Linked DNA regions of Arabidopsis thaliana. The protein of the gene in region 1 interacts with the protein of each later gene in a pairwise test. Each region holds a gene or a part of one and is shown on either strand. Other genes may lie near its edges.

What was found. The genes of interacting proteins can lie anywhere in the genome.
Region 2: the proteins of XBAT32 (region 1) and NDL1 interact in a two-hybrid assay, tested with the Arabidopsis thaliana proteins (one large-scale study listed by BioGRID).

What each region holds. Positions count from the first base shown.
Region 1 is NC_003076.8:23,394,059-23,399,503, forward strand, and holds XBAT32 (uncharacterized protein), read right to left. Parts: upstream 3,593-5,445; 5' UTR 3,088-3,592; coding exon 2,893-3,087; intron 2,793-2,892; coding exon 2,733-2,792; intron 2,651-2,732; coding exon 2,579-2,650; intron 2,480-2,578; coding exon 2,313-2,479; intron 2,222-2,312; coding exon 2,061-2,221; intron 1,950-2,060; coding exon 1,891-1,949; intron 1,801-1,890; coding exon 1,754-1,800; intron 1,660-1,753; coding exon 1,510-1,659; intron 1,422-1,509; coding exon 1,330-1,421; intron 1,255-1,329; coding exon 731-1,254; 3' UTR 527-730; downstream 1-526. UniProt on the Arabidopsis thaliana protein: E3 ubiquitin-protein ligase that mediates ubiquitination of ACC synthases (ACS). Negatively regulates ethylene biosynthesis probably via ubiquitin-dependent degradation of ACS4 and ACS7 enzymes.
Region 2 is NC_003076.8:22,956,029-22,961,470, forward strand, and holds NDL1 (N-MYC downregulated-like 1), read left to right. Parts: upstream 1-1,600; 5' UTR 1,601-1,957; coding exon 1,958-2,017; intron 2,018-2,480; exon of another isoform or gene 2,481-2,778; coding exon of another isoform or gene 2,779-2,781; intron 2,782-2,862; coding exon 2,863-2,962; intron 2,963-3,036; coding exon 3,037-3,134; intron 3,135-3,224; coding exon 3,225-3,313; intron 3,314-3,397; coding exon 3,398-3,458; intron 3,459-3,549; coding exon 3,550-3,714; intron 3,715-3,806; coding exon 3,807-3,863; intron 3,864-3,960; coding exon 3,961-4,016; intron 4,017-4,127; coding exon 4,128-4,263; intron 4,264-4,359; coding exon 4,360-4,578; 3' UTR 4,579-4,888; downstream 4,889-5,442. UniProt on the Arabidopsis thaliana protein: Interacts with the heterotrimeric G protein beta subunit GB1 and plays an significant role in GB1-dependent regulation of lateral root formation. Involved in a signaling pathway that modulates root auxin transport and auxin gradients.

The DNA of each region.
Region 1 (5,445 bases):
ATCATGATGATCATCATCATAATCATCATGATATTTATGATCATAATGATGATCGTTTCTCTCTTTCAACTTTTTCTATCTTCTCCACTACATCATGGTTGTACTTTCGAACGTGTGACTATCTCACGGAGAAGAAGATTTCTTGGACATTAGTGTTCCATTGGCATTATCCTCGCTGAGCTTTTTTTTTTCTCTATGAAAACAGAAAAAAACAAAAAATAGTTTTGTTTCTACTAAATCAGAAAGTTCTTCTATAATTTAGAAGATTTTTCTTGACCTTGCAAGGCTTATTAGTTTTGTATTGTTCTTTTATTTTCTTTTATCTTCTCTTCATTTTTGTATTTTATTTTGTATTGGTTTGTTGTTTCTATTCCTCCTGAGCTTTATGTATAATTCACTACTAATCCCATAATTTCTCAGTTATTAGTTCCTCTGAAACGTCTATCTAAATATATGTAATCTTCGTTTATCTGTTAAGTGTTTGATAAGTGATACCTTAACGATGCTAATGGCTACGCAAGAAATTCACTCTCAAACATAATTTTATATACACACCATTTCAATGTAATGGCAAGGCCAAATTAATTATTTGTATTACAACATTTTCACTTATTACAAAATGAATAATCACCACACCATTCACAGAATCAATTAGCACATTTTTAATCCCAAAAAAACTGGGATCAAAAATTTTATAAAAAAGGTGAAAAAAAAGAGGATTGAGTTTGAGTTAGCAAGCACTTCCACCGGTTGTAACACAATGGTTAAGTGCAGAAAACCAAGAACGTTTCCCTTCAACCTGCGACGTTGATCGCCTGAATCCTACACCGGATCTTGAATATGATCCACCAATTAACCGGCTTCGAGGTTCATCAACATCTGAGCCACCAAGGCAGAGACTTGGAGGAAACCGGCGGCAGCTAAGAGACCGAAACGCTGATGATCTAGCGGATTGTGGAGTTCGAGAACCCGTTCTTGACACAACCGGTTTACAACTGTAGTGAGGGTTAGTTAGGAGAGCTGTGTCTAAGACATCAGAGGAGCAAGTGCAGAAGGACAAGGAGATGCTTGTTCTTGATGATGTTGATGTTCTTGTTGTTGCCGTTGTATGGGGAAGTTTGGTGAAAGATACAATGCCATTGCGACAGAGAGGACACGGGACAGAGCCTGGTGTGACGTTTGAGGTCTTTGACGATGTTATGCTTGTGGTGCTTAGGTATAATGCACAGTTTGTGCAGAACTCATGAGCACATCCTGTTATGTCACACACAACAATCAATTCAATGTTTTAAGCAAAGATCATTTTCGGTAGTGAAAGTGGTACATTACCATCTGCTGCCACAGTGCATTTTCTTTCCAAACAAACGGCACAAGGGTCACGACATGGAGTCAGACAATCGTTTTCTCGCCAGCCGCATTCTCTGAAATCCACAAACGAAAAAAGACCAATCAGCCACAGAGATCATGCGATCATATAGGGTGTTTCAGTTAGGTGTAAAGTTTACATACTGAGCAATATTGACAATGCTCATTAAAGGAAGGCAGAGGAAAGGAGAGGGGACATTTGGCAAATGGAGTTGTGGTTGTTCTGTTGTTGGGTTCAGGATTTCTTCCAGCCAGTTTCGGTGCCATGAACGAGCTACCATCATTGGTGTCCATCTAAAACCAAAACATGAAGCGAATTAAGACATTGAGGTCTATATCAAACTGGTTGATTGGATTTAGCATGCTGAGAAATAGAGTGATCTAATACCCGTTGGAGTTTACGGCAGCTAAACAAGCACCCTTACTGATCAAAAGCTGAGAAAAACAAATGCCAAATGAATTCATATGTGAACTTTAAACGAAACATAACAGAAGCATCATGATTGTCTAGTTAAGCATGTATACCTGGCAACACTGCGTGTTTCCACCACATGAAGCATAATGGAGAGCTGTACTCCCAGCACCTTCAATATATAAAATCAAAGAGCCGGAGCGAAAAACAAAATTAAGTCTTTCACATAAAGAATCTCTTCACTCATTGTCAAAGTTAATCAATTAGAGCATATGATAGTAACCTATAAGATCTATAGTAGTTCCATCTTCCACAGTGACCTGAGTAACCGAAGCTCCCAAATCCAAGAGTAACTGCACCGTCTCTATATGTCCGTTCAAAGCCGCCACATGAAGAGGTGTGATTCCACCATCTGCTGCTCTGTTGATCACTTCGTGAAGAACACTACAACCACAACATCCAAAGAACACATTCAACTAATCATCATCAAGTGACTACAGCATTACCTCAATTCTTTACAAAAAACACTTTTGACCTAGAATCGAATCCAGCAACTGAAGTTTTCTTATTCTTTAAAAGGCTCCAGCAATTAGGAACACTTGGTATATACTCCGAAAGCAAGATCCTGATACACCGAGGGTGACCATTTAAAGCCGCAAGGTGTAAAGCAGTACCACCATTTAAGTAATCTGATCTGTGAATCTAAAACCCGAACAATCAAGAAACACAATCATCATTGTTCCAATATCCCTGACATATTTTTAAATCACAATCAGTCAGAAGAGTTGATCAAAGTCTTACATTAGCACCAAAAAGAATCAGAATCAAAACAACCTCCCAATGACCATGTTGACAAGCTTGCATCAAAGCCGTCTGTTTCCAAAAATTTCTTGTATTCAGACTACTTCAAAACCAATCAATAATGCAAAGAACAAAAAGACACTAATCACAACACCTGTCCACGGTAGTTCCGGAGATTAATATCAACTCCTGATTCCACCAACAGAGAAACTATCTGAAGATAAACAAAACCCAAATCACCAATCACCATAAAAGTCAGAACTTTAGAATCTCTAATCTTACAAAGTATTGATCTTTCAAGTAATTACAGTTACCTCGTGGTGGCCTTGAGCGGCGGAGTAATGAAGAGGAGAGTTACGAACGCCAAAAGTAGAGTAACGAGCGAGTCTTGGATTGTAATCTAAGAGAGCTTTAGCTTCCTGTAAATCACCGTCTCTGGCCGCTGATACTAAGCGTTCGCCGGACGCAGAACAACCGAATGAGTTTCCGACGAGGCTTAGAAACCTCATCGTTTTACGATACAAAATTGAAATTTTGATCGGATCAACCCTAACAAATCACCATCAACACAACAACACGAACAAATTTTATTGGATTCACAATTTGCAGCAAACCCAATTCGAGAACCAGCTCGGAAGAATCGAAGAATTGAATTTAATTTCAAATGATTGCAACAAGAAAAATTTGGTTTTTATTTTCTTCCTCTGTTTTTGTTGTTGTTGGTGTTCTTTAATTCTCTTATGTACAGATCAGATCATCATCATCATCATCATAATGATCCCTCTTTAAGAAAGAAAGAAACTTTAAAGAATTAACCAAAAAAAAATCAAAACTTTAAAAGAATTGACCAAAAAAAGCTTTAAACTTTAGAGGAAAGATCATCCAGAAAACTTCTCTGACAATTGTAATACAGAGAACATCAAAAAGAATGGTGAAATTAAGTTGTGGGATTTTTTTTTTGGTCAATTGATTAAGGAAAATAACAAACAATAATAACAAATTGGTGATTACTTTATTTTTAAACCAAAAATGGAAAAGAATTGTTCTAAATTTTTTATTGTGTGTGGAGGATCTCTTAATATTTTGTGATGGTGACACTAATTAATTGACTTTTAATTATTTGAACAAAAAAAAAATATGACAAAGCCAACGTTGTAGCCAGAGGTTTCGATAAACCAATAGCCGGAATTCGCGCGTTTTTTTGTTTTAACCAAAATCTTAATGATTATAAAGATTCTCTAACAATGAAAAAAAAAAGACATTCTTCATCACACCATAAGAAAGCTTTCTCCTTTATTACATATAATTAAATAAATAATCTTACTATACTGCGTAATTGAATAAATATAGGTTCTTTTTGTGCCAACAAATAATGATTCAATTAGCAAGTCTCCAAAAGTAACATGACATTAGTGGAAAAACAAGTGTATAATAATGAAATGTGGAGGAGCATGTGGGTCGTGTCACGTCATGCTTATAATTGCATTTGCATTAGCAAACCTATAACATTAATGACTTCAAATTTTAACATTAGCAAATCAGAATGATCATGCCAACTCTCAGCAAATATATTTATCAAAAAAACTCTCAACAAATATTACTTGATTTTAAAGATGACCCAAGCTATCTTCAATCTCACTTTCTGTAGAATCACTAATTTGTGTCTCACAATTGTGCAAAACTGTGGCCAGTTGCTGTAAATTGACAGAAAATTCTTTAGTTGACAATTTGTCTTGTACTTTGGAACTTGTAGCAGAGTTTCTTTGTCCAGAGTTAACACTATCCAAACTAAACTCCAACTCCCAAACTGGATGTACAAGCTTAAATCTCCACTTGTGCTTTATGTGGAACTTCTCCACACCAAAAATGAGTTGTGTAATTCAGTCTGAAACATGTCCACTATTCCACATCTATGTTCTCTCGAGTCCACATCACACAATCAAGTAGGTGCATGTGCACATGTTGGAACCACAAACACAACACCCTCACTGTCCTAGTGTTTTGTAAGAGAGAGATGTGAAGTAGTCTAGAATGTCTCATCAAGTCGTCCTCCAAATGTAACCATATATCCTCACCTTCTGTACACATTTTCAAAATAGCTGCAATGGAAAGTGAAGTTCCTGAAAAGTCTAGAGTATAACCAGCTCAATTTTGACTTTCTGATATCCTTTGTTGAATGGCCAACTCCATAGACATTAACACACACTCATAGTTTGGCTTCATAGTCTGCTTTGACAAGCCAGATCCAGACTTTTGAACATTAATTCTCATTCCTTCCCATGCACTGCTTCAATTTCGCGAGAAACATCTTGCATAAGCCTATGTCCCAAAAGTTTCTTCAAGTTCTCAAACAACATGCACTGCAGCTTTCTCGAATTCCACCTCACAACAGAACTTGTTTTTTGTCATTTTGATCTCCTCTAAGCTAAATTTAAACTTGAATTTCCAAGCTTTAGGGAACTTCATATGGTTCATGTCTCTGACATACTGCATCATCCTCATTTTGCACCTACTGTTCCAGCTTCCCTTGAGTCTTTTTATGTTGTTCTTGGTATAGCCCTCTGCAAATACGCATGCTTGTAATTTTGTCAGGCTACTTTTTTTCTTCATCTCGTTGACAAATCTATAACAGATTCTGTTAAAGTGTCTGTCTTTCGTTCGTAAGATCATTACGTTCATATAACAATATCTTTGATGCTTGTTTTGTTATTCCCAATTGTCTTGATTAACGAAGAAAAAAACGAATCCTTTTAATTTTTTCTCCTCTGTTTGTTAATCCGTTACTGCTCTGTTAGTCTAATGTCAAAGAAACCACGTTGCTTTTGAACAACAATACATCTGTATTGGGAAATCTATGAATACTTGAC
Region 2 (5,442 bases), 440 kb from region 1:
TGGTGAATCTAGTTGACTTTGGGAGAGGAGAAAGAACCGATTTTAGTTATTCTTCCCCATTATTGAAGTCTAGTTCTCGGCCAAATATTCAACAACAAAAAATTGACTATTGTGAAAATTAGGCTTGTTTTGAAATAGGTCTAACTTAAGATATTAACCATAAATTCGGTTATTGTATTGTTGTTTGGTACAATGTAAACCGGTTACTAAACCGGAACACTCTACATATAAAGAGTGTTTCATGTAACAGAACAATTAAGAAGAATAACAAATTTTTCTCATCTTCTTCATTTCTCTGAATTCGTTCATCAACTATTATGGTATCAGAGTGATGGATCTCGAAGATTCATCCGATTCAACCTAAACTCTGAGTATCTTCGAGCTCTTGGATCTTCCAAACTCGTTGATTCTTTGTTTCTTCAATTTTCTACGTTTTCTGGAAAATTTCAGTTGTTTAGAGCTTCGTTGATCTTGCGATGGTTTCCGTAGAGAAATTGCGGCGTCGTACTAGAAGATCGAGCAAAACTTCAGCTGAGAAAACTCCAGATCGTGTTCAAGCTTCACCGATTCCACCGATTCCACCAATTTCGAATCCGTTTCAACAAAATTTCAATTCAAAACCATCGATCTATCCTTTACCACAGTTCGACTTCTCGGATGCTCATTATTCGCCATTCGCGCTCTCAAATGGTGAGTCCTGGGAATACACTTGTTTCTGAGGTACTTGATGGATCTAATTTCTCTTCTTGGAAGATTGCGATGTTTGTTTCTTTGAACGTTAAGAATAAGATTGCTTTTGTTGATGGAACTTTACCAAGACCTCCTGAATCTGATCCTAGCTTTAGAGTGTGGTCACGATGCAACAGTATGGTTAAATCTAGGATCCTTAATTCTGTTACAAAGCAGATCTATAAGAGTATACTTCGTTTCAATGATGCTGCAGAGATCTGGAAAGACTTGGATACTAGATTTCACATTACGAATTTGCCAAGGTCTTATCAGCTAACTCAGCAGATTTGGTCACTTCAAAGTTTTGCTTTCAATGATATCTCTTTCTCACCTTCGACTTTATGGTTACTATGTTCTCTAACGTCCTCTAGACAAGTGTTATCACAAAATACATGGATCATAGATAGTGGTGTTACTCATCATGTTTCTTATGATAGGAATATGTTTGAAAGCCTATCTGATGGTTTAAGATTAGTCCATTTCTAATTTTCTACTAAGATATATTTTTTCCAACTCAAAGTGAAAAAATTGCGAATAGTATAAATATACAATTGTTTATTAAATATTGATGTTCTTAATATTATTACATAAAAATAATTTTTTATATGTAATAGTATTTTTAGAAAATTTGGTTTCTCTTTTTTTTTTTAATAATAAAACTAAACAGTCTCTAAAAATTTATATTCGGTTTGCTTAATGTTAATTTTGTTGTTAACCAAAACTTCGCACCTCCCTTACTTATCCAATTATCAACATTTAATATTTGTTTACATTTATACAATTATCCAATTTATTTACAGCAATTTTTCCGAATTAGTATTCGACTGTTATTGGTGAAATTCGAGCTGGTTAATAATATTTATCAAAAATAAGTTTCTATAAATAAATCAAATTAAAAATGTTTCTTATTTTAAGTTTTTTGACCGTTCGCGTGTCATGTTACGACTACCGGCGTCTATGGAGAAATCACCGCAAAATTTATAGAGAGAGTAAAACGAAAGAGAAGAAAAAAAGGAAAACGAAAAAAAAACGTTTCTTTTTCCAGAGAGGTCTTAAGAGAGAGGAGAGAGAAAAGGCATCGCTTTGTATATAAGCTAAAGAAAAGCCAAAAAACAATCTAGAGGTTGGGAGAAGAAGAAGAAGAAAAGAGAAGAAGCTCTTGTTATCCCGGCGTTCTTAAAACAACGACGGCGACGGTGACGGCTAAGCGGAAGAGCTTTTGTTGCCAATGACGGACTCTTACGGCGCCGTCTCCGTCGACGTTGGAACAATCTATCTTGGTGGCAAGGTTTCATTCTTTAACCTTTGAACTCGGATCCGAATAAAGCTTTGATTTTTGTTTCTGGGTTTATCTTAAACTTGCTTAAATCTAATCTTTCTGTTGATTTGGGGAAGAACAGACATGTGGGCATTGTTAGATTCATTTGTTTTTGTAAAAAAAAGACTCATCTTTTGTTTGAATCAAATGTTCTTGGAGAAATTCTTTGCTTGTGGATTTGTGAAACTTCTTTTATTATTATGATTCATTTCCAGATGGGATTATTCTTGGGATCTTCTTCTTCTCTCTATTCAAAGATATCTTCTTCTTATTATTATTTTGTATTCCTTATTCTTTGTCTTATTGCCTTTTGATTTTTTTATCTTATAGAAAAAAGAAAAGAAAATGCCAGCTGTTTTTGTCTACCATTAACCTTTTGTTTAATAAGACTAATGCTTCTTTATTATCTCATTAAGACTCATATTAGCTCATCTTTTTTAAACTGTCATTCCCTTTTTATTAAAAAAAAACCACAATGATTAGAATTAGGCCATTTCTCTTTGGTTGTTGATGATCAAGTTTTTGGTTTTGTTTTTTTGCCCTTAAAAGTAGTAAAGCTGCACATGGAAAAGCTTTAACAGAGATGTTTTCTTTTTTGTGTGTGTGTTAATCAAAGCATTTCTTTTCCACCTAAAGTCAGTTGTCATATTCCTATCTTTAGTATACATTTACTAACGAGAAAATAGATTCATTGTTTACAAACACATGTTTTATGAATATGGAGTAGACAAATGGTATGGTTAAAAGTTTAGTTTTTTTCTGTTGGTTTCATGATCCGTTACTTTTGTTATAACTTGTTGGTTTCTTGTGTTCAGGAGCATCGTGTTAAAACTGCTAGTGGTGTTGTGTCTGTCATTGTCTATGGAGACAGAGAAAAGCCAGCATTGATTACTTATCCTGATTTAGCCCTAAACCGTAAGGCTAAAGAATCTCTATAGGCACTAATGTAATGGCTAAATTTATTAATGTTTTTGTTGTTTCTTCTTCAGATATGTCATGCTTCCAAGGGTTATTCTTCTGTCCTGAAGCAGCTTCATTGCTGCTTCATAACTTCTGCATTTACCATATCAGTCCACCTGGGCATGAGGTCCAATATTTTAGTTTCTCTTTTTTTAACTTGCCGTATGCTTTGCTTGACGTGATTACTTACTCACATGACTTCTCTGTTTTCTTGCAGTTAGGAGCTGCTCCAATTTGTCCTAATGATTCAGTCCCTTCTGCTGAAAACTTGGCAGATCAGATCCTTGAAGTTCTCAACTTTTTCGGGTAACGATGGAATCCCTTATTTTTGGCTTATTGAAGTTCTCAACTTTTGTTTTTCGGGTAACAATGTATAAGCTTTTTGTTCAGCCTTGGTGTTGTGATGTGTATGGGAGTGACTGCAGGTGCTTATATCCTCACCTTATTCGCGGTATGTTCCTATTTATTTTTCTCTTCTCATTGCCCATTGCTTCAGAAGAATACTGTGTTTATCATCTCTTCTATGTTTTAAAACTTTTCAGATGAAACATAGAGAACGGGTTCTTGGTTTGATTCTTGTCTCACCGTTATGCAAGGCGCCGTCTTGGTCTGAATGGTTTTACAACAAGGTTATCACAAACTTGTTATATTATTACGGAATGTGTGGAGTGGTAAAGGAATTTTTGCTTCAGAGATATTTTAGTAAGGTGTGTTCACTGCAGTTACCATTGCTCTCTCTCTGCACTTGTTGCATTTCCAGACTTCTCTTATTTAAACCGGTTGCAACTGCTTGCTACAGGAAGTCCGTGGTAACGTTGAGATTCCAGAGTCAGATATAGCACAAGCTTGCAGAAGAGTCAGTGTTTATCTCTTCTGTTGTTTTTCTGTTTCATCAATAGATTGATTTTACTGTATCAGTGATTCACACCTTGCACTTTTGGTGATTGTCTCAGCTGCTTGATGAAAGACAAGGCATAAACGTTTTGCGATTTCTTGACGCCATTGACCGGTAACACAACAAACACCTCGAAATCCTTTACCTTAGAAGCATTCATTCATTCATGGTGTCAAATATTGACTTTTCTTTAACTTTATGCAAACCAAACCTTTGCTCTTGCAGGAGACCTGACATCTCAAGTGGATTGAAGAAACTAAAATGCAGGACACTTATCTTCATCGGAGATCAATCTCCTTTCTACTCAGAAGCTGTTCACATGGCAGCAACTTTGGATAGAGGATACTGTGCTTTGGTTGAGGTTTGAGAAAACGAATCCTCATCCTTTGTACTTTACATATAAACACATGTTTGGTTTTCTTGCTACTAATAGATGTTTTCTTGGAAATATTATCAGGTTCAGGCTTGTGGTTCAATGGTAACAGAGGAGCAACCACATGCAATGTTGATCCCAATGGAATATTTCTTGATGGGTTACGGATTATACAGACCATCTCTTTTCTCCGAGAGCCCTAGAAGTCCACTTAGCCCTTCTTGTATTTCACCTGAGCTTCTCTCTCCTGAAAGCATGGGATTAAAGCTTAAGCCTATCAAAACCAGAATTTCGGCGGCTTAAGTGTGTGTGCACTACTGATTCATTGGTTCTAATTTTGCTGAGGAGAAGAAATCTTAGGGCTTTTGTAGATATAGAACAATACTAGGGAGATTTGAGAAGAAGAAGACGAAGAAGAAAAATTCAAGCCACCATCATATAACACATTCTTTTGTAGTCAGCCGACACGACAGTTCTCTTGTTAAGATGCCACAAAATGTTGTTTATTATTTCATTTTTTTATACATATGTAAAATGTTCTGTTCTTGTGACATTGTAACAATTGTTTTGTGACGAACTCTGCAGAAGCAAGTAATAAAATTCATTTTGCATTTTGTTTTTGGTTCTCTAATTGGCCTTACAAGCACATTGATTTCACCAAGTTAGAATCTGGTTTTTGCTTAATATTGATATTTAATGGTTTAACAGTCTTGATCCTGAACTATTTGGATCATCAGATTGAAACTTTTTAGTCTGAATTGAATTGTAAATGGAAATGGAGACCAATCCTTCTTTGCAGAAGCCGTAAGTTATATACTGATATAAGATACGCATAAGGATTAGTTGCGGTTGACGAAAACATAGTCCCTCATGAACCGGGGTAAAGGCGAAGAATGCTTCACTTAGTCTGAACAAGTTCAATGCTCCTCGATGTTTGTCAAGCCCGTAAAATGGATGCAGACAAGTGTAAATCCGAGCCAAACCCGAATACAAAGTAGAAGAAGTGTATAAACTCTTGGATAACTAATGATTGAATAATAACATCAAATTAAGGCCATTTCTTGTATTGAACATCGTAAGATGTTTTGTAAATTACAAATACAACAAAGCTCACTTACCTCAGCACCTCTCTATAAGCGAATGGTCAGAAAGTTTTTCACTTTCAAA